3 linked regions of the Arabidopsis thaliana genome follow. The protein of the gene in region 2 interacts with the protein of the main gene of each other region in a pairwise test. Each region holds a gene or a part of one and is shown on either strand. Other genes may lie near its edges.

Region 1 (7,036 bases), 8.2 Mb from region 2:
TTTTAGACACCAAAATTTAAAGTAACAAAAAAGGAAATTTTCTTTTGTATCGGAACTTTCGAATGTAGTGGTGTGAAGGAAAAGAGAGAAACACAAATAAGAGTGAGGCCTAGGCGTGCGTTCCAACCAACCGACCATGTGGAATTATATGATAAAAGAATGTTTGTATTTTACATCAAGATTGCAAATGTTTAAATTTTAAAGCATTAAATAGAGTTGGATACTGCGCTCATCCCAAAATGTGTGAAATTCAATATTAGCTAGTTAGTTTAGAATGATATAGTCTCTTGCAAAACATCATACATAAAATAGTATTTAATTTGATTTGTTTGGTACGCTCACAAAAAAAAATAGAATAAATGAATATAGTGTCTTGCAAAACATCATACATCAAATAGTTCTTTGATATCCTAACTATTATTACTGGTTTCTATACAATTTTATATATCCAACCTTTACCCGAAATGAAGAATTCATTTTATAATAAACTATAAAATTTGTCTTTTTATATTCTTGCTAGAAGATAACAATATTGTTGTCATAATTAGGACTGTGAAAATGGTCCAAAGGTGCCCTTAATAAATAATTGGACCTATTTGTTTCACTTTCTAGTGGAATATCTTTATACACAATTATTGTTTCTCCACTGTGGTTTCGCGAAAATGACCACTCAACCTTTTCTTGGTAGATGGTAGGGGTATAGAATAAATGATTCTTTATGTATATTCGATTTTTTAAAATAATCAAGTATATTTAAAATAACTAGCGCACAAAAAAAAAAGAACATTGCATTTTGAAATCTGCGGTGAAATATAAAAATATTTTTGTATAAACTTTCATAATTTGTATTTTCTTATTAATACATTCCACTTATTGAACAATAAGATGGTGAGGCCAGATTCTCGCAAAGCATTTCCGTTTATTAACACATTCGCCTCTAAACGGGTAGTTGCATTCGCAGACAAGTACCTCTATGGACTATGGCGAATTCGACGAAGCCAAAGATCATATATTTTTATGAGTCCTTTCTCCTTCAAAACGTGGCCTTAAGTTGGTGGTCCTCTACTAAGCTCGCATCTCACTCCTGATTGGATGCATATGCAACCCCACCTCGTCAATGGCACTATCAAAATTCTCAGCTTCTATCTCTTATGTTTGTTGTGAGCGATAGTGTAATGACTATATTCAATTTTTACCGTACGAAACAGTAAACCGTCAGCTCTAGTGATCGACAAAATAACAGATCGGGTCTCCTCGCACCTATATTTTAATATGACTTGTCTTCACGACCTCATTAGATGTTGGCTCGAAGGAAGAAGTACTGATCAAGATTGTTTCTTTTCAACTTCCATTCTTCTAAAAGTCTATTTGTTTCTTTTCAATCTTCATTCTTTTAAAAGTCTATCTTTTCTTTCAAACTTTTGAAATTCTCTATTAATTAAAATATAAATATCTTTGTTGAAGCTAAATTTTACATTCCAACAGAAAAAGAGAAAGTTAAACTAATAGAAATGTACAGACGGCACTTATTCCCAAAATGTAAGTTACATTTCTATAATAAAACTAACAACACTGAGAAATGAGAATGATCTTATCAAAAAGAGAATGATAAAAAAAAAAAGAAAAAAAAAAGAGGGAATGATCCCATCAAGTTTTCGGAGTATTGCTTGTACACACTTGGTCTAGGAAAAATCTTAGGAGGTGAAATGTTACTTTTGCATTTAGGCCCAATTATATCTTCTGTTTTTAAGAAGTTCTGACTAGTCTGTTTATTTGTAATCTGGGCTAAACTAAATTTATTTGTAAAAGCAAAGGTACATTTAAAAAAAAAAAAAGACGCTCACTCTATTGTGTTCTTCTTGTTCACGTTTTCTTTTGTCGCTCAACAATATAGAGTAAAAACAAAGACATTAGGGAAAAAAAATGAACAATTGAACATTACATAGAAAGTATGAATTAATTAAGCACATTGTTAACTCTAACGACACAATCATGTTATATATAAAATATATATAGAGCGAGTGTCAGTTCTTGAACTCACTCTCACAATTCTCCGACACAATCTCAACCTTCTTCGCATCTAATAGTCCCTTAACCTTAACATCACAAGTCACCACCACTTCCTTGTTCCGTTTGACCGGCCCTGCTTCATACTCAGCCTTCAGCTCCATATTCAGCATCAGAACAACCGGTTGCTTCGATCCACGAGGTTGTACAACTGCGTTCTTGGTCGACCCATTAAGCTTCACATTGACCTTGTCGGATCCAGATGCGGCCTGGGACAACCCCGGAAATTTCCCGCTCCCCAGGCTCTTATTCTTGTACGTTAAGGAAACGACCCCGTTCTTTTCCATCATGTAGCGTACTCCCATGTTAGACGTTGGATTCTCGGCTCTTAATGTGACCTCAAAATTACTAGGATTTACGGTCAATCTCTCGACCGCGAAAACAGGAAGAGTGGGGTTGAAAGCGAAATGGAGGATGAGAATGATTGCACCGAGTAAGAATCCGAAAATGACCAAGATAATGAAGAACCACAAAAGACGTTTAGAACACCCTTTCTTTTTGTTTTTCTCCGGGTTCTTGCTGCGTTTCTCGACGTATTTTGCATGTTCCGGAGGAGGGGTCCAATAGACTTGATCTCTCGGGACTTGGACAACGTACGTCTCTAACTCAGGGATTGAATCCGGAGGAGGAAGAGGCGGAGAAGATGTCGTTGGGAGTGGAGACAGATTAAGAGAATGATTACGCCAATGGTGTGAACCGTGCGATGGAGGATCTAAAGATGGCAATGCGGGGAGGCTAGAGGTTGGACGGTGCCAAACGGACGGAGGATCATCGGGTTTGTCATCGTCAGAGTCAGGGGCGGTGGCGGAAGGAGGACGCCGTGGCCCCTCCATCGGAGAAAGGTGGGAGTTACGAGATGTGTGGTGGAGATTGGTCTACAGAGAAGACGAAAGAGAGAGAATTAAGAGAGGATGCGAAAATTAGGGTTTGCATGGGAAAAGTAAGTGGTTGTTGTTGCATGACTCAAACTTTTGGTTGGTTTTGAGAAGATTTTGCTATTTAGAGTTAGCCAGCTCACCTTAAATTTCCCTTTTTCTGTTATTTAGAAAACTATATTACAGAACTCATATAATATAGTATTATGGCATTTGATGATGATCAACGAAGTTGTTACTTTTTGTTTACAAGATATCGATTTTCTAACATAAATTATATATGCATATAAGACATACATGAGTAAAATCTTAAAAAGGTTAGCACATATTGGTAATGTTTATCATGAACGAGTCTTATTTTATTTTGTACGTTTCGAACTAAAACCATTTTTGGGTGGTATTTCTGGACCAAATTTTCATTAAAGTGTTTTTTATTTCAATTCTCTTGCAACTTCTGTTTCTTTAGAAAGCGAAAAATGCATATATACGAATATACGTTGGGATTGACATGAACGGAATGTATGTATTTACACACATTAATCCGCAGCAACCGGCCATTCAAAATTATGTTTGTGGGCCTTGTTGCTGCTTCGCTGACAATACTATCCAAAATTTATTTCATTTTTCTTTCTTTGAAAAACACACAATCACTTAATTTTCATTTATAAATCAAACATATGTACATGAAAATATCAAGGAAATTAAAGGAAATCTTACCTTCATATGGTCGAAAGTTTTCTTTCAAAAAGCAAAAACAAAAATTAATGTTTCTCTAATTCTTCCCCGGCCCCAATCCACGTGAAACATGTTATGTTGCGAGCATTACACTGGAAACTGTTACATTACATTCTAATTGGCGAAAAATGAAGTGCATTTGTATTGTATCTCACGAAGATTTGCGTTTGTGACAAAAAAAAATATGCAATTTTTTTCGAAATCTGACAACCCATGCCGACCTGTCCGCCGAGTTAACGACGTGCTTATAGGATCCTTAAGTATTTTTATTCTTATTTCTTACTCATTCCAACGGACCAAAAACGACCACGTCATCTTCATACGCAACTCCCAAAACAGACGATAATTAAATCATTGAAATCTAAACTCTCATATACTTTAGCATTTTCAACATTTCTATTAATATTTCCATAGACTAGATCTCTCTTTCTTATACATCCATATCACCGATGATGCCTCGCCGTGACGTCCTCTTCCTCTCACTCCTCCTCGTCATCGCCACCGTCTCCGCTGTCGCATTAGCCGTAAGTTTTCCAAATCTGACTTGCTTCCTCTCATATATGATTTTGTCTAGAACTAGACACACACATTAACCAGATTTGAATATGTATATAATGACACAACATCAATGACATTAGTTTAAACTATTAGACTACAAACTTCTGTTTCTTCCCATTTAAAAAAATGACTTTCTTGATTTCACAGGACGATGAAGCAGATTGTGTCTACACATTCTTCCTTAGAACCGGATCAACCTTCAAAGCCGGTACAGATTCGATCATAAGCGCTAGAGTCTACGACAAATACGGAGACTACATCGGGATCCGAAACCTAGAAGCATGGGGTGGTTTAATGGGACCAGGTTACAACTACTACGAGAGGGGTAATCTCGACATTTTCAGTGGGAAAGCACCATGTCTTCCGAGCCCAGTCTGTTCATTAAATCTGACCTCTGACGGCTCCGGTGACCACCACGGTTGGTATGTTAACTACGTGGAAGTCACGACAGCCGGAGTTCATGCAAAGTGCTCGTACCAAAGCTTTGATGTTGAGCAATGGCTTGCGTCCGATACATCGCCGTATGAGCTCAGTGCTGTTCGGAATAACTGTCCAGTTTCGCTTAGGGAAAGTGTCGGTCGGGTCGGGTCTGAGATCCGGAAGACTCTCTCTTGGATCGTGTGAGAGTAGTGAATGAAATGTCAAATGTGTATGTGTGTGTGTAACTTGGAGAGTTGTTCTTTGTTGTCTTGTGAACGTGTGATGGCAATAATGAAAATGATTCGATCGAATAAAAGTTCCGTTCTTTGTTGTTTGTGAGATTTTTATCAAACATTATTAAGTTTTTCGTGTGATGAAATTAAAAGATAATTACTGATCATATTAAAAAGAAAAAAAGATAATTACTGGTTGATATAGTTTCTTTGTTTCGTTTTATTTTCACAAATAAACGTTCAAAGCTACAACCTTATGATTAATCAAAACTTTGCCAAATAGTATAAAAGATGGGCCCTTTTCACATTTTTCGATGTAATTTTAAACATTTAATACAGAGTGGATCTTCACAATTTTAATCATTTTTGTGCATGTTCAAAAAGTCAACAAGAAACTTACAATTTTGTAAGAAACATCAACGACATTAATTGGTATTGGCCTAAACCTCCTAATTAAGTGACATTTGGTTGAAACGGAACATTTCTTTGGGTCATACTAATAACTGAAAACCATTATCAAATGAATGACTTTAAAATTCCTCCTAAGGCACCATATAAATCTCACTATGCTCCTAATCGTCTTTTAAATCTATAAAAGAAGGTGTGAGCAATAAGTTCCTCAATGAAAATTGAAAAAGATCATCCCTGCACACATAATCTATAGAACCACAAAGCAATATACAAGCTAGACATAAAATAAATAGACAATATGCCTTTAAAAGATAATTACTGATTGTATAATATTTATTTACAAAGACTTCGTTAAGGTCAAAATATTTATGTCTAATCTCCATCCCCCTAGAACATGTTTTTTTCTTTCTTAATAATAGTAACTGTCTAAAAAGAAAGAATTTATGATTCTCATAAAAATTAGAAGAAACAGATTAAAATGGTTTTATTCAATCATATTAATTGACAGAAAATTAAATGTCATATAAACTACAATGAAGAAAATGATAAAGTAGTGAACCTAGTGATAATCCTTTAAACTAACGATCACATGATTCGATGCAACAAAGTAATAACAGACTTATTTGAATTGCCGCGTAAGACTTTGAAGATATTGCTTTCAAAGACGAGAAAACATTGTTTCATCATAAAAATCTTCAAATACATCGAAACAGTTAATGATCGCATGTTCATCTCATTTCTCATACCTCTTTGGACTTAACTGGTACGTAAAAAGATGATAGGCTAATAATTTCGTTGAGACAAAAACTAATTTAAGGTTAAAGCATTAACTATATAATTGTCTATTTTTGTGTTAACGATCACATGCACACATTCAGTGCAATTAAGAAAAAAGTTTGATCCACCAAGTATATATGAATGTGTTCGTTTGTCTACTTAACTCTCGCACTAAAAACAATCAAAAAGAAGAAATCAAACAAAATGACTAAGCATATCTTAATTATTCTTATGTTTACTCTTCTCATTCTAGAGCTAAAAGCTCATGGAACAAATACAATGAGACAAAGCTAAAAAGTGATGAGGGTCTGGAAAAGTTGTACAAGAGGTGGATGGGCCACTATCTTGTGCCCATCCACCAAACAGAAAGTAGTTTCGATGTATTTAAAAAAAATGCAGAATATATTGTCAAAACCAACAAGGAGAGAAAACCGTACAAGCTCAAGCTCAACAAGTTTGCAAACTTGACCGACGTCGAGTTTGTCAACGCTCACACATGTTTTGATATGAGTGATCACAAGAAAATACTCGACTCCAAACCGTTCTTCTACGAGAATATGACTCAAGCACCAGATTCCTTGGATTGGAGAGAGAAAGGAGCCGTCACCAATGTCAAAGATCAAGGACCAACGTGTAGTAAGAAGTCCTAAGAAACGTTTTAATAATGATATTATTTAAAAATATCAAGTAAAGTAAGACTATCTTTAAATGTTCTAAAGTAAATTATTAAAAAGTTTATTGCAGTATATAAAATATTCAAATTATAACTCGTTACTCAGTCGGAGTTTTTGTTAAATTTATTTTTGTTTAAAACAAATATATTACTCAAGTCTGAATTTTTGACCCATTACAAGTTTTCTATCATAGATTGAACAATTTCGATTCGTTTTTCAAAATTCAAATAATGACATATGCAGAAAAAAATCTAGCTTTTCTTTATATGAAGATTTATTTGTTTCA
Region 2 (6,509 bases):
TTGCTTTTTCTTTATACCTTTCATCCATTCCACCACTTCATCTGGCATCATCCACGCATCATCACAATGCAGTAGCATCCAATTAGAGATAACATCTTCAACAACACTGATTGATTCATCTGATTCCAGAAATTCCTTATCCTCATCAAGAATGACAACACGTTCTTTCTTATTAGGCAACTTCAAAGATCGAGCCAAATCCGCACGACTAAGTTTAATCCTAGACCCGTTTATATAGCTGCACTTACCTCCAGCACTATAGGAAGCTATAAGTTGAGCCACAAGATCATAATCCATATCCTGATCAAATTCCAAATGCACAAAATCCCACAATCCGAGAGTCTTTAAGAGACTCTCATAACAAGCAAAATCTAGGGTTTTTAATGGCTTGAAAGGTACAAGCTTTAATGTTTCAACAAGTACCTTGAGCTTCTTCTTAGACTTCTCTTCTTGCTGCTTACGTTTCTTATCGTTACATTTCTTCCGCTTTGGCCCACCACCGTGACAACTAAAAGAAAAGCTCATGGCTTTTGAATCCAGAATATCAATCTCGTCTTCCTCACTCAACTGTTTCTGATCACTACCGTTCTCCTGCGATTTCCTCATTTCGTCCGACACTGACTCTAAAATTCTGATTTTGTTCGGAACAGAATGTGTCTCTGAAGCTTCAGAGACTTCTTCCTCCAAAGTAGCTTGCTTAATCAGGTTTCTTAAAATAGTTACTGTATCTTGCTCTCGAGATGCAAAAGGATTCGCCGGAGGATCCATGACTGGGTTTTGTTTTCCGATCTCCTCCTCTTTCAGAAATTGAAAAGGTTAAGGAGCTAAAGAGTCTTTTTGTTTACTAATTAACCATAATTAATATGCTCCGTCATCAAAAACAGAGCAGCTAAAAACACTTCATTAGAGGCCCATATGTATATGGGCCGGAGTTTAATACGGCCCAAATCAGTATAACCGAGTTCAATAACCGGTAAGAATTAAAATATTTTACATTATTCACCCAAATCTTTACATTAATCACAACAAACTCCAACATCTATTCGACTCTTTCAAATTCACACTCTTCCTCCTCTTCGAAATCTCCGAGTACAAAATCGATCAATCTCTCGGAAAATGATCGTGTATTCTCTCTCTCAGCCTCACTGCTTCCTAATGAATCTCTCTATTTCTCCTCATTACGGTTGCTGCTACTGCGGAGTTTGGTGGGGAGGTATTAGAGACGGAGCTTTGGTGCGTGGCGAAGAACAACGTTGAGGATTCAACACTTTAAACGGCCATTGACTGGGCTTGTGGTCCCAGAGGAGCTGATTGCGTCTAGATTCAGCAAGGTGGATCCTGCTACGATCCATTGGATATAGTGAAGATGGCTTCGTATGTATTCAATAACTATTATCTGATGGAATGGTCTCGCAGATGAAGCTTGCAACTTTAGTAACAACGCAGCTGTTACTTCTCTCAATCCTAGTAAGTTCACATTTTCTTTCAGGATCAATGTCTAGCAGATAGTTATGACTTTTGCTAATTGAAAATGTTGAAAGTTTGATGCTTTTTCTGCAATTTTTCGTTTTCAGGTCAAGGAACATGCAAGTTTCCTTCAAGGTAATTAAGTAATCCACATTTGTATTGCCAATTAGCGTTTGTGTGTGTGTCTCATTTATAGTCTGTTTGGAGCAATTTTGATCCATCATAGGTTCTTTTAGAAAATGATTTCTAGTTTGATGGGTTTTGAACTTTTGAGTGAAATGAAATCTTTTTTTTGTTTTTTTCATTAGCTTCTGGCTTAGAAGGATGAAGTTACTTCACTTCTCCTCGACAATTGATTTTGATCTTGGTGATTATATTGTTCATATTATCAATATGATGCAGTTACTGCAGAACATAGAAGAAGTTTCAAAAACTATTAAAGCAATTTTTTTGAAAATGTTCTCATTCTCCATGAGGCTTCGTTTCATTGAGTATAGTAATAGTTACACTCATGCTGTTGAAATCTGGTGTGCAGTAAGGGAGTGAGCAATGGAAGTATCGCAGATGCCACTTCAATGCAGGGAGCAACTGCACCAGAATTCTCAGATTGAGCCGAGCAAGGCGGATGTTTAGCAGCTGGTTGTCACCCTTCGTCATTTTAGGCCACATTGTGACAATGACACTGATTATCCAACAGGTTTAGCTTCCGATTGGTGATTGAAGGTAACCCTTTTATGATCTCTCTTCTCCCTCAGTTTTATGTAACTAAAATGGTTCTGCATCTTTTATGGAGCCCTGATATGTACTGTCTACCACTGTGAATAGTTAACTTGAATGGCATGAACTGCACCAGATGTATCTTTTGACTAACATATATTTAGTGTTCCGTTACACAAAACTATCTAAAACCAAAAACAGAGCATGATATAGTAAAAAAGAAAGGAGGATATTGTATAAATTAAAGATTATCGATATGTGTATATGATTTATATGCATAATATGTATCTATATGTCGACTCAATGTCTCTCAAGATCTGCCACACGATCTTGGTCAGGACAAGAATGGTTGATCCTGTTCGAAGATCTTTCCCTCGTCAAGATTTTCCTAAACGAATTTAATCGCGAAGCCGGGGATACAACTGTTTTGTTATCTGAGGAAGAAGAGGATGCGGCTTCTACAGTCAAGTTCAGCCTGGTTTCCACCAACAACTGCGGTGCAGTACCGACTGGTCCTTCCCTTGGCTCAGGCTCAAGTCTCGGTCTTGGCTCAACTTCAGTCCGACAAACAGGACAAGTGGAGCAAGTGGTGAGCCACGTGTCAACACAGTCGACGTGGAAGATGTGCTTGCAGTTGGGCAACTCTCTCGCCTTGTCTTGCTCCTTTAACACGCTTAGACACACTGCGCATTCAGTAGCGGAGGCAGCCACGCCATCAGTGGCTCCAACAGTGAAAGTAGGGAGAGAAGCGATGACTGTGGGATTGAGGCCACGCTTAGGCATCTCAAAAGGGTGGCGGAAAATGACGGGGAGGCCACGGAAAGCTTCTCTACGGCGTCGGAGAACGAATCTTGCGTAAAGATGAAGAGCGAAGACGATGAGGATAACTCCAGATAAAGAAGCCACTGCGGCAAGCATGATCTTGCTGTTAAGATCGTAAGTAGACGGATTAGGCCAGAATGAGTGGTGGTCAGAGTTGAACCTGCGATGATCTCTGTCGTTGGAGCTCATTGTGAAGCTGGTTTTTCTTCGGTGGATGCAAAAGAAAAGTGAACAAAAGAGTTTACTAACTTATGATTTATTATATAAGGAATAAAGGACTTATAGAATTTCTTATTTTGATTGTTTTTCCAAGGCTTATACTTTAGTTGGTGGGTGGAGAAAAATGTGAAGTAGATAGAATTAGAAACTTTGGGAGATAGGTAGACTTTCACGAGGGTTTAGAAATTTCACCATTGTTGACTAAATGGTAGATTGTAGATTATTTATAGGTGATAGGTTTGAAGATTATAGACTGTATATATAAAGAGTGGAAAATATCAAAATCCTACGTAAAAAATTTGTGGACTGAATTTGCCTATTATGATTTCACGGTATTAGGAGTTAACTCGCATATATAGACTGAATTGTCTACCATCATTTCAGTGTATCAAGAGTTAGTTAGTCTCATATGCTGCAAATAGTATGGTGCAAATTGGTTTATCCAAGTAGATATATATAGATAAATTCATCTCTAAACATAGAATGTTAGAGTTACATATGATACTGCTATCAAAATTTTAAAATATGATAATACAATTTATTTTGTCAACAAAAAATGATAATATATATAGTCAAGAAAATACGAAAATTAAAGGTTAAAACGTGTGAGCCTGTGAGGATACGTGTGGGAACCACAAAGTTTGACTTGAAGAAGAGTCGTCTATGTAGGGCACACACGCATTAGATATACCTTAATAACAAAATTGTCTCGATTGTATGTTACAAGTTCAACTTTCTTTTTTTCTTTTCCCCTTTTCACACGTTAAGCAATAAGCAACAATGTTTTTGTAATTACTGTAACATACAAAAAGTGTGCCATTCATATTTACACATACAAAAGATTTCAGTACAAGAATAAAAAGTTAAAAGGAAGAAGAAGTATTATGGTTCATGAATTAAGGATTAATTATGGATGCATGTGTGTTTATACTTTTTTTTTTTTAACCGGCGTATGTGTGTATATACTATATACTGAATTCACTGTCTTTCAATATCCAATTCACGATCTTGGTCAACGCGAGAATGATCCCGCCTGTTCGAAGATCTTTCCCTTGTCAAAATCCTCCGGAACGAGTCTAACCTCGAAACCGATGATCCGCCGGTTTTGTTATCAACCCCCGCGAAATCTAACGGCGGTGCAAAGTCGCCAACTGGCCCTTCCCTAGGCTCAGGCTCAAGCCTTGGATGACTTGGCTCGGCTTCAGTTCGACAAACGGGACAAGTGGACTGCGTGGTGAGCCACGTGTCAACGCAAGACACGTGGAACACGTGTTTGCAGTTCGGTAACATCCTTGCATTATCTTTCTCCTCCAATAAGCTTAGACAAACCGCACATTCCGTACCCGCCACGTCATTCTTGATTCCAACCACGAACGTTGGGAGAGAAGCGATGACTAGAGAATCGAGGCCACGTTTTGGCGGCTGAGAAACGACAGAGAAGGAGAGGTCTTGGAAGGCTGATCTACGGTGGAGAACGAATTTTGCGTAGAGATAATAAACGAACACGATGATGATAATAATAGAGAAGGAAACGGTGGTGACGAGGAAAATCTTGCTGCTGGCATCGTAAGAAGTCGAGTTTTGCCAGAAAGAACGGTCGTCGGAATCATCAGTTTTGTTGTTAGAGCTCATGATGAAGCGTTTTGTTTTGGTAGAACAAGAGACAGAAAGTGGTTACTATAATCTAATAACAAGTTACTAATAGATTGAATGGATCTCATGTTGTGTAATTAAATTGTTTTTTATTATTTTTTCTACTTTTGTTTATTCTTCATAGCTATTACTTGGATTCAAGGGACATACAATATGATTGGTGGGTGTGAGAAAATAGGCAGCAGAATACTCATAAATTTTCGAAGGAAATTGTTGACTTTACTCGGATTTGTTATCATTTTCTTAATTTTAAATTAAACTTTGGAAATTCAAAAAATAATAATATAGGATTGCAATATTCTTTATACCGTAATACATAACATGTCGACAGTGTATATGAGAATTCTAGATATATGATGATACAATTTCTCCCAATAATATGACAGGACTTAATGTAAATGGAGCATAGTCAAGAAAATACGAAATTTTAAAGTTATAACGTGAGGTATGGAGCGAGGCTGCGTGTGAGAATCATATGGTTTGACTTGAAGAAGAGTATTCGAAGTAGACAAACATGCTAATCTATTACAAGTTGTGTGAATATATTAAAAATTCAACTCTCTTTTTAATTGTTTTTTTTTTTCCACACGTTAGCTCTTTTGTTTCCTTGTATATACTTGTAGGAAAAAAGTCATTGTATTTTGATGATATATCTTCAAAACATATTATATTTTATCTTTTTAAAATTATAATTAACAATGAAATAATGACTTTTTCTCATTTAAGATATTTGTACTTTTCATATCTCACTGGATTTGGGTCTCATTTTTTTTATGTACATAAAAAGAACTATGAAACCAAAAACCTTCCCGTAATCAGGTGTAGTTTGATTATCCTTTTTATGTTTTTTTTTTGTGGGTAAATTTTTTTATAGGTTTTGAGTATCTTATAAGGTATATATATGTATAAACAACTTAGTTTAATAAATATACTTATATATATATATATATATATTATAAGTTTCTTACCATTTTCTGAAGATAATTATAATAAACATTGTAATTCAAAGAATAAAATGTTGATGTTTGTTGGATCCCAATTATAATAAAATGATTAATAAGAAAATATAATATGTTATCATTTATTTTGGGATGTCAAAACTCATTTTTTTTGTTAGATTTTTATAAAGATTCTGTCATATAAATAATTACTTTAATTTTTAGTAGATTAGAAAGTAATATCTTTCGAATTGAAATTTTCAATGCATATAAATATAAACTAAAAATATTTGAGAATCGAAAATATTAGTTTTGATAAGTATATATAATGTTAAAAGTGTGTTTGGTTGTTGGTTTTATAATAATCAAGAATAAGGATAGTAGAACTAAAATGGTTTGAGAAGAAATATAATAGAATTAAATAAATCTATAAAAAAAAAAGAAAACCGAAATTAATTGTGGGGTTGCTAATTGGGTTGATGTGAATTAAAATGGGCTAAAAGGGACACCAAAGCAAGGCCCATATATTTTGTGGCGTAGAGAGGGAGGGAATTCGAAAACAGATGATAGCGGCAAACGCAGAGTAGCTTGAAGAAATCCGTTGCTCATTCTCTTCTCCGATCGTTTTTTTCTTCGCATCCCAAGGTCTCTCAGTTACAGAAGATGGAGAAAACGCCGTTCGTTCTCTGTTTC
Region 3 (8,476 bases), on a different chromosome or scaffold from region 2:
CAAAAGTCGTCACATAATATCACTTTCGAGTTATCAACATCCGTACATGTCATCCATAGAGCCAAAAGTAATGATGGTTGGTGCTAATAAGAAACAACGAACCGTCCAAGCTAGTTCGAGGAAAGGTTGTATGAGAGGAAAAGGTGGACCCGATAACGCGTCTTGCACTTACAAAGGTGTTAGACAACGCACTTGGGGCAAATGGGTCGCTGAGATCCGCGAGCCTAACCGAGGAGCTCGTCTTTGGCTCGGTACCTTCGACACCTCCCGTGAAGCTGCCTTGGCTTATGACTCCGCAGCTCGTAAGCTCTATGGGCCTGAGGCTCATCTCAACCTCCCTGAGTCCTTAAGAAGTTACCCTAAAACGGCGTCGTCTCCGGCGTCCCAGACTACACCAAGCAGCAACACCGGTGGAAAAAGCAGCAGCGACTCTGAGTCGCCGTGTTCATCCAACGAGATGTCATCATGTGGAAGAGTGACAGAGGAGATATCATGGGAGCATATAAACGTGGATTTGCCGGTAATGGATGATTCTTCAATATGGGAAGAAGCTACAATGTCGTTAGGATTTCCATGGGTTCATGAAGGAGATAATGATATTTCTCGGTTTGATACTTGTATTTCCGGTGGCTATTCTAATTGGGATTCCTTTCATTCCCCACTTTGAGGTGTCACTAGACTCTCTTTAATTGTTAAGTTATCATATACAAACTACATATATATACAAATATAGTCACCGTGAACTAGGATATATATGTAAATAAACACCAGTTACATGTACTTATATATGTGCACATCTATATATGTGGTTTGTCTGTATAGTGTGAAAGCAGATTCTTACCATATCAAAAAAAACATAAAAACGACAGTTGTTTGTCTCGAAGCTAAAAATGTGTCATGGGGAAAACTATTAAATCAAGTGCAATGTATCTGTATAAAGAAAACGGGATGTTACGTTGTGTGTAACGGTCAATGTGTAACTATTATATGTCTCTGTTTCTATGGGCTTTTAAGTCTTTGACTATTCTCTTGGTTTTCTTTGCATCTTCTTCTTAGCTTCTCTTTGTACTAACGTGTAATCCTCGCGAGTCTTGATAGACTATATGGCGTGGTTTATAACAAACCTGGCCCGTTTATTCCGGCCCAACATCATTATATCTCGGCTTATATATGGTCTCCAGTCTCCAATAACGGGCTATATATGATTTAACTAATGGATTCAAATACGAAATCTTGAATCCACATGGTAGACTAACCTATGCCAGATAACGATTATGAGACAAAGTCGCTTATGCACTGTGTTTTTCCTTATGTATATGAATTTCTTTTGTTAATGAAATTTATTTGTATAAGGTAAATAAGATATGAAATTCTGTTAATGAACTTCTTGTTTACATCAAATTAAAAGATGATATTTTATATGTAAAAAGCTGACGTGTAAGCTGATCCGAGAAAACCAAGAAAGATAATGTAGAGCATTGAAGTGTATATGTGAAATTTTTAACACGTTCTCCTTAAAATAATGCTTTTATCCGTCTATTTCAAACAAAATTCTAATATTGGACCAAAAATTATATATCGAACAACACATCTTTCTCAAGTTAGCTAAACTTTAATACCATGTTAAAATCTATGGACTTTCAACTCAAGAATTGGTCCATACTATAACTTAGTTGGTCCATATTATATTATATATATTAAATGTTGGTTTATTTTTAACTTGTTCATTCGGTTAAGAATTTTTATTGGATATTTGATAATAAACTAAATTTGTAAAAAAAAACTGTTTCTTTAAGAGATCATTTTAATCAAATACTAAAGATCTTTTTTTACTTCAGTTCAGAACAAAGCGTTTGATCTAATCCATTTTAAACATCCCCGACAGTGATAATTACTAAAGATCATAAATGCAAATTATAACATTCTATTGATGATAAAGGAAAGAAAAACCCCACAAGAAATGTAAGAAAAAATGGCACTAATATATCAGCCAGATATTATATATAGAAAAGTCTCAATCCAAAGCTCCCACATAGTCTTCTTCATCACTATCATCATCATCATCATCCTCATGAACAATGATGTCTCATCCACCATTTTTTTTCCTTTCTTCAAAAACCTTTCTTAGGTAATTAATAATTTTTTAGAAAAAAAAAAGAAGAGAAAACACTAAGAAAAAAAGCAGACACAAAAGTCATAAAACACAACGGCACACCATTGTTCCCTTTTAATTGGGTAATGGCATTTGTAATTATTAGCTGGAGAGTGATTTGTCCAAAGTAGTCAAACATTGTCCGTTGACTGATGGAGTAGTGGTGTTGTGATGGACGACTTGATGGAGTTGCGAGAAACAGGTGCACGTTCAATACCATGCTCCGCGGAGGACTGGATCGCTGCCTTCTCAAGCGCTGCAAATTTCCTCTCTTCGCTCTTACCGTACAATACGAAGTAAAGTCCCGCTATGATCAAGACCGCTCCAATAATCCTGCCATTAGAAATATGACATGTGGCACAACAAATTTTAAAATTATTCTTGTTTAGGACCTTGGATTTTATCAAGTATTTATATAAACCACTAATATTATTATAGTTTCATACCCGCCCAAATAAAATTCTTCGCCTAACGCAATAGAAGCCATGATCGCAACGACAAGAGTCTGAACAGGCTGGTAAACAGCAACGAAGACTGGACCCCCTCTGTCAATACACCAAATCTGAACCGCAAACGCGATTCCAGACGCTACGATTCCCTGAAGTTAAATCAATTCATTAGGACCAAATTGATTATTTTGAAACATTAGGGCCAAAAACGAATTAATTATAACAGATGAAAGAAAAACTAACGGCGTAGAGGATGGTGAAAAGCTCCCAACCGGAGTGAAAAACCCAAGCCTGAGAATCTCTTTCACAGAAAGCAGCAATGATCAAGAACTGAATGATTCCGAAGAAACAAGTGTAAGACGTAACCGAGAGCCTCGCTGGATAAGACTTAAGAACCGGAGCTTGGAAAACAAGCCAGCCTGACCACGAGAGACAGTGACCGATTAGGTAGATGCAACCAAGGGTCCAGTTTTTAGGCGCGGCGTTTCCTAGCGGCGCTAAGACGGCGGAGTTTGTGGTGAGTAGATGAGCGTGGAGGTGGCTAGCCGGAGTGTAGATGGTTGGACCTTTATAGAGGGTGATGACGGAAGCTCCGGCGACACAAAGAGCTGTTCCTAAGATTTTGGAGATACCGTCTCTTCTGTTTATTCTTACTTTCTCAATCCTGAATTATTGTTTTTTTCACATACAGTACATAAACAGTATGTTACATTGTTGTTACTACTATGATTATCACTATTTTGTAAGCAAATGGAAACGGCATTAAATATTGTCTACGTGTATTATTATCCGTTTCTTTTACGTTGAAAAGTCAAATGGACATTATTAAAGTGGTTCTTGTATATCCAAGCTGTCCAAAATATTGTTATTTATTTTTATAAATCAAAAGAGAATGAAAATGGAGAGATGTGTAGAGTAAGTGCCTGAGAAGAGCAGCCATGAGAAAGGTAATGGCGGGAACAGAGTTTTGCATGGAGGAAGCAAATGTTGGTGAAGTGTTGTCCAGTCCCAACAAGTAAAATCCTTGGTTCGCTGTTATTCTGTCGTGTAATAATTCATTAACTAATTATCCAAATTTGTTATTGAAAAGATCAGAGTGAAGGATATAAATATATACCCTATGAGTGCCAAAAAGAAGAACTGGATGAGAAAGTTGAGAGTAATCGCTGGTCTCTCCTTCCTAAATTAACACAATTAAGTTTGGTAATTAAATAACTAGCAACTAGAGAAAAAATAGGGTTTTCAAATAAAGAAGTGAAGTGAAAATAGAAGGTTACTTTTCAAGGAAGTAAGCGAAGGGAAGGAGAAGAAGCAAGGCGATGATGTTACGATAAACAGGGAAGACGAGTTTGCTGATTCCCATGTTAAGAGCAGCTCGAGACACCACGTGGAATCCGGCGTAACCGAATTGCAACGTCAGCATCGCTATGTGAAGCTGAAGCTTCTCCGGAACTCCCCATAAGGATCTCCGATTATCGGTGTTATCCGCCATTGGATCGAGCTTAACAATCGATCAACGAAGGAAAAAGGCTGTGTGTGTGTGTGTTTGTGTGTGTTGATTGAGGAAAAGAGTGAAGTTGCGGAGATATAAATATAGGTAGATAGCAATCTCATTCCCCTCTTTGCTTGTGGGAACCACCATACTGAGATTTCTAATATGGTATCTATTAAACCTAATTATAACAATGTGAAATATTGAAATATATATATATATATATATATATGGATTTAGGTATATTAATGAGTTTTTGTTGTTTCCTATCATTTGATGTACACACCAAATATTGTTACTTTGGTCTACTGGCAGCATTCACTCCTTGATTATGATTTTTGAATTGGGAAATAAAATTTTAATTTATATTATTATTTCTCTATTGGGTTATATCAAGTATGATAATAATATAGGTTACTTTTTGTTTTACTATTATTACGTTCATTATTATTTTGTTTACAAAGCACACACACAACATAAATATATTTCAGGGAAAATCGCAAAAGGAGAAAGAAAAACTCAACGTATGATAGTTTTACCTAAGAAATATGATTTCTTTTGAGATATTAAAATAAACGATTGTGTTTTCGGATTTTCTTGGAAAAAAAAGACTCTTGAATTGAAAACTATCATACACTATTCTACTTAGCCTTATTGGAAACTATGACCACGTAAACAAAGTCGGGTTAAACTTATAATCAAACACGTTCACATGCACTTACCGTTACCAAAACGAGATAATAAAGTGACAACGTCTCACTAAGTCACAACTTCACAAACATTTTGTGGATGTTGGTACATCTCATATGTTTTAAAATCAAAATTTGAAGACATTCCCAAAATTTTGGACACTATATTTAACATTTATCATCAGCTTTTGTTTCACAACATGATACATTGTTAGTTAATTATATGCTTTCAAAACAACCAACTTTTCATTTATTGATTTCTAACAAGAAGAAACGACTATGAAGCTGTTGGTTAAATCTAAATCGATTAAACAAAGGGCCCGCAAATTTTTAACTGTGTACTATAGTGTTTTTAGAAAATAAAGAAGAGAGCTTAAAAATGTGTAAAAGGGCAAAGCCTGTCTCCCACATTCTTTTATTTTTCTGCTGTTTAGCTGACATGACAACCCTCACGCCACTACTCATTAACGCAACCATCATTATGATTCTTAATTTTTTGTATATCTAAAATCATTTAATTCTGAAAATCAAAAAGGTAAAAATAACAATAGAAAAAGCACAAAATATATCATTATTTACGACTCTATTCCTCAATTTGCACTCACTATCGTAGACATTATAATGGTTTTAGTTTGTCCTTTCCTTTGATATTTATTGAGCAGCATGGCATTGCTACTAATTATTACTTGTACAGTATAGTCTTCAGGAGAATAACACTCTTAATTATAAATGTACGACATTTCGTTTTAACATCTTTTATTTACTTTCTTTTTTGGTAAATATATTTCTTGATTTTATTTATGTTACATAATTAATTTTGTAGGGACGAGCCCCACGCGCACTGCCGAACCGTGAGACCCACAGTACCTCTTATTTCGCAGGCACACCCACACGATCAATATTTATGTACACGCTTACACCAATATTATTATCTGTATTTGTCCTCAATTATTTTAGTTTTATTTTTCTTGTTAATTTATTTTAGTTCTATTTTTTTGTGCTCATCGAATAGACGTGTGTAATTGTTTTCCAATAGTCAAATACATTTGTATCCCTATAGAATAGAATCATCGAAAATTTTATGGTTGCTTGCTTGTATATGCTTTCATTTTTCTCTTTCTTTTTGTCTTGTTATTTTTGGAGAGATCGACAATGTAAACCCAGAGAAACCAATTTAGTAAATTGTACACAGAAACATGTGCATATCCACGTGAAAACAAACCAAATATGTATTTTTCTTTCCTTCCACGAATGTATCACGACAAAAGAAATATCATGGCAAAAATTGTTCATGGAATATTATTTTGTCACAAATCTGTTTTAGATAAACTATATGCAGCAACATGTAAAACATAACAAAATATAACAATATGGAATTTTCATTACTTCATTATATTCCATTTCTATTACAAAAATCTTTTTTTTTTATGAACAATAACAAAGATATTTACCTTAACATTTTAATACATCTAGTTAAACTTAGTTATACTTTCACGTTACACTAATTTATCTAATTGCTCTATTTTATAAAATATATTTATTCTACCATTATCCCGATGAACCTAAACTAAAGTTTGTATCCTCTGTTCTTGACATAGATGCTATTCATATCAAAATTGAATAGAAAATATCTCAATACACAGCGAAACATGTTTTTTAATTGTATAAGAAATCATTGTTTCTAATAATATCATACTTCTGTAAATATTTTCTACATTTATAGAAAATTGTTCCTACAAAATTAAAAATTTATCAAAATATATAAATAACTAGTTGTAGTTCTAGCTACAAACATTATCACTAAAACAATTTTGTTAAAACATTTCCAGTAATCCTAAAGAAGGGATTATTTTGGGACATTCAAAATGATATCAGCATTTTAAAAAAAAATCGAAACAGTTTTGTAAAATCTTACTAGATTAGTTGTAGAAAAGCTTCTTACAAGAAAAGGTTGTGACGTTTTTTGAAAACAAATTTTATGGTGTAGTTTCGGGGTAATCCTAAATTAAAATAAATAAAAAAACTTAAGAAAGGTCAAAGGAGTATGTATATATGTGATGAAACTGGCCGTGCAAGTGGTACACGTATGCTCAACCGTATCCATAATGCCATTTGTCGAGGCAGACCCCTTCATTAACTATACTGAGATTTCCAAATCTGTCTACAATTCTTGTAAATGATTATTTCATCATAATAAAAATACGTAGTTTGCCAGAGGTCTTGGCATGAGTTTTCCTTCTAATTCATTCAGAATTTGAGGGTTTGATTTACGCGATGATGTGTATGGTAGATAATTGAAAAATATCAATTGTTTCTCCAGGTACTGTTCATAACTAGTAAAAGTGATCTTATTGATGAATATCTTGTTATTGTATGTTGAAATTGGGAATTACTCTTTTCAGATATAGCTATTAGCTATAGTATCAGTAAATTTTGAGAGATAAATGAAGACATACCCAGCTGGACATACCAAATCCAGCACATATTAGTTTGTTAATTATATATGGTTTATATTAGGATCTATAACGTAGGTTCATGATTTACACTTGCATATATTTAGGTTGTTTTATATCATTCTCAAATGATGATTCGTTGTTACCTATGCGAAACAAGCACTGAACTCATAATTAACTAAGGTGTCAAATTTAATTCAAAATTTCACAACACTGGCACTAATTAATTTATTGTAGATCAGTAGATGGTAGGATGAAATATTTTTAGTTTGTTCCTTAATGAATATGAAAGATCACTAAACATCAATTGTTATAAAAGAAGGGCGTATTATTGATGGTAAAGACTAAAGTTTCACTATTAATTAGCCCAATTTCCGGAACTAGTGCAGTAGTGCTTATAAAAGTGTTTAGTTAAAATACAAATAAAAGGAATTAATTAGCATTTTTGGTCTTTGTGACAGAAGATAAACCCTTATTTAGTTAAAAAAGGAAGAAAACAAAACCCTTTTTAGGATGAAAAAGAAGATCCCGATATATAAAGGATGATATTCGATCTAAGTCTATCTCTCTCAATCGGTAAAGGGTAAAGAAACGGGTCGGGTAAGGACCCAGCAAGACAGTAACGGATCGGGTAAGGACCCAACAAGATAGTAACCGGTAACGAGCAGACGAAGAAGAAGAGGGAGACCAATCTTAGTTGGAATATTTAATTGCCTTGTCTCCTTTTTCCTCACTTTATTTCGTTTCTTTATCATTTTTGCTCGCCCACGAGCGAATCTTCTTGTCTCCGATCTCTCTCTCTTCTCTTTTTCTCACTCCACTTTTGAACTTTACCACAAAAGATTTAGCTTTTAACCTAAATTCCAAGATAAAAGAATGTAAATTACTTTTAGAGGTATTTGAGAAGATTAATGCATAAATTTAGAATCTTAATATGACCAAGTTATATAAACTCGGCTCTTATTCTTTCACTAATTATCCGATACGCTAAATGCTATCACTTATTTACGACAATACTTGTGATCAGTCATAATCAACAAAGATAAAACGTTCCGACTGATTGTCTGAAGAACGTAGACACGGTTCTGCAAAACTGGAACACATTTAATGACTGTATACACACCTCCATAACTGCACTGTTTCACATGCAATTCAATGGTGTATATCTATATACATATGCTTGTGTCTAATAGAAAGATTATGCATATAAAGTTTTCATCCGATGCTTTGATTGATATTTG

The links.
Region 1: the proteins of AT2G42360 (region 2) and AT2G22180 interact in a protein complementation assay, tested with the Arabidopsis thaliana proteins (one large-scale study listed by BioGRID).
Region 3: the proteins of AT2G42360 (region 2) and WAT1 interact in a protein complementation assay, tested with the Arabidopsis thaliana proteins (one large-scale study listed by BioGRID).

What each region holds. Positions count from the first base shown.
Region 1 is NC_003071.7:9,424,833-9,431,868, reverse strand, and holds AT2G22180 (hydroxyproline-rich glycoprotein family protein), read right to left. Parts: upstream 3,127-7,036; 5' UTR 2,901-3,126; coding exon 2,025-2,900; 3' UTR 1,728-2,024; downstream 1-1,727. Other genes in the region: PLAT2 (Lipase/lipooxygenase, PLAT/LH2 family protein), read left to right, coding at 4,127-4,201, 4,383-4,859; AT2G22160 (Cysteine proteinases superfamily protein), read left to right, coding at 6,409-6,726.
Region 2 is NC_003071.7:17,637,593-17,644,101, reverse strand, and holds AT2G42360 (RING/U-box superfamily protein), read right to left. Parts: upstream 3,305-6,509; 5' UTR 3,196-3,304; coding exon 2,485-3,195; 3' UTR 2,312-2,484; downstream 1-2,311. Other genes in the region: AT2G42370 (uncharacterized protein), read right to left, coding at 1-768; AT2G42350 (RING/U-box superfamily protein), read right to left, coding at 4,204-4,857; AT2G42340 (uncharacterized protein), read left to right, coding at 6,480-6,509. UniProt on the Arabidopsis thaliana protein: E3 ubiquitin-protein ligase able to catalyze polyubiquitination with ubiquitin-conjugating enzyme E2 UBC8, UBC10, UBC11, UBC28, UBC29, UBC30, UBC35 and UBC36 in vitro.
Region 3 is NC_003070.9:28,335,999-28,344,474, forward strand, and holds WAT1 (Walls Are Thin 1), read right to left. Parts: upstream 4,278-8,476; 5' UTR 4,094-4,277; coding exon 3,879-4,093; intron 3,782-3,878; coding exon 3,719-3,781; intron 3,642-3,718; coding exon 3,525-3,641; intron 3,266-3,524; coding exon 2,845-3,265; intron 2,751-2,844; coding exon 2,599-2,750; intron 2,486-2,598; coding exon 2,284-2,485; 3' UTR 2,190-2,283; exon of another isoform or gene 1,784-2,189; 3' UTR 1,728-1,783; downstream 1-1,727. Other genes in the region: AT1G75490 (Integrase-type DNA-binding superfamily protein), read left to right, coding at 47-667. UniProt on the Arabidopsis thaliana protein: Required for secondary wall formation in fibers, especially in short days conditions. Promotes indole metabolism and transport (e.g. tryptophan, neoglucobrassicin and auxin (indole-3-acetic acid)). May prevent salicylic-acid (SA) accumulation.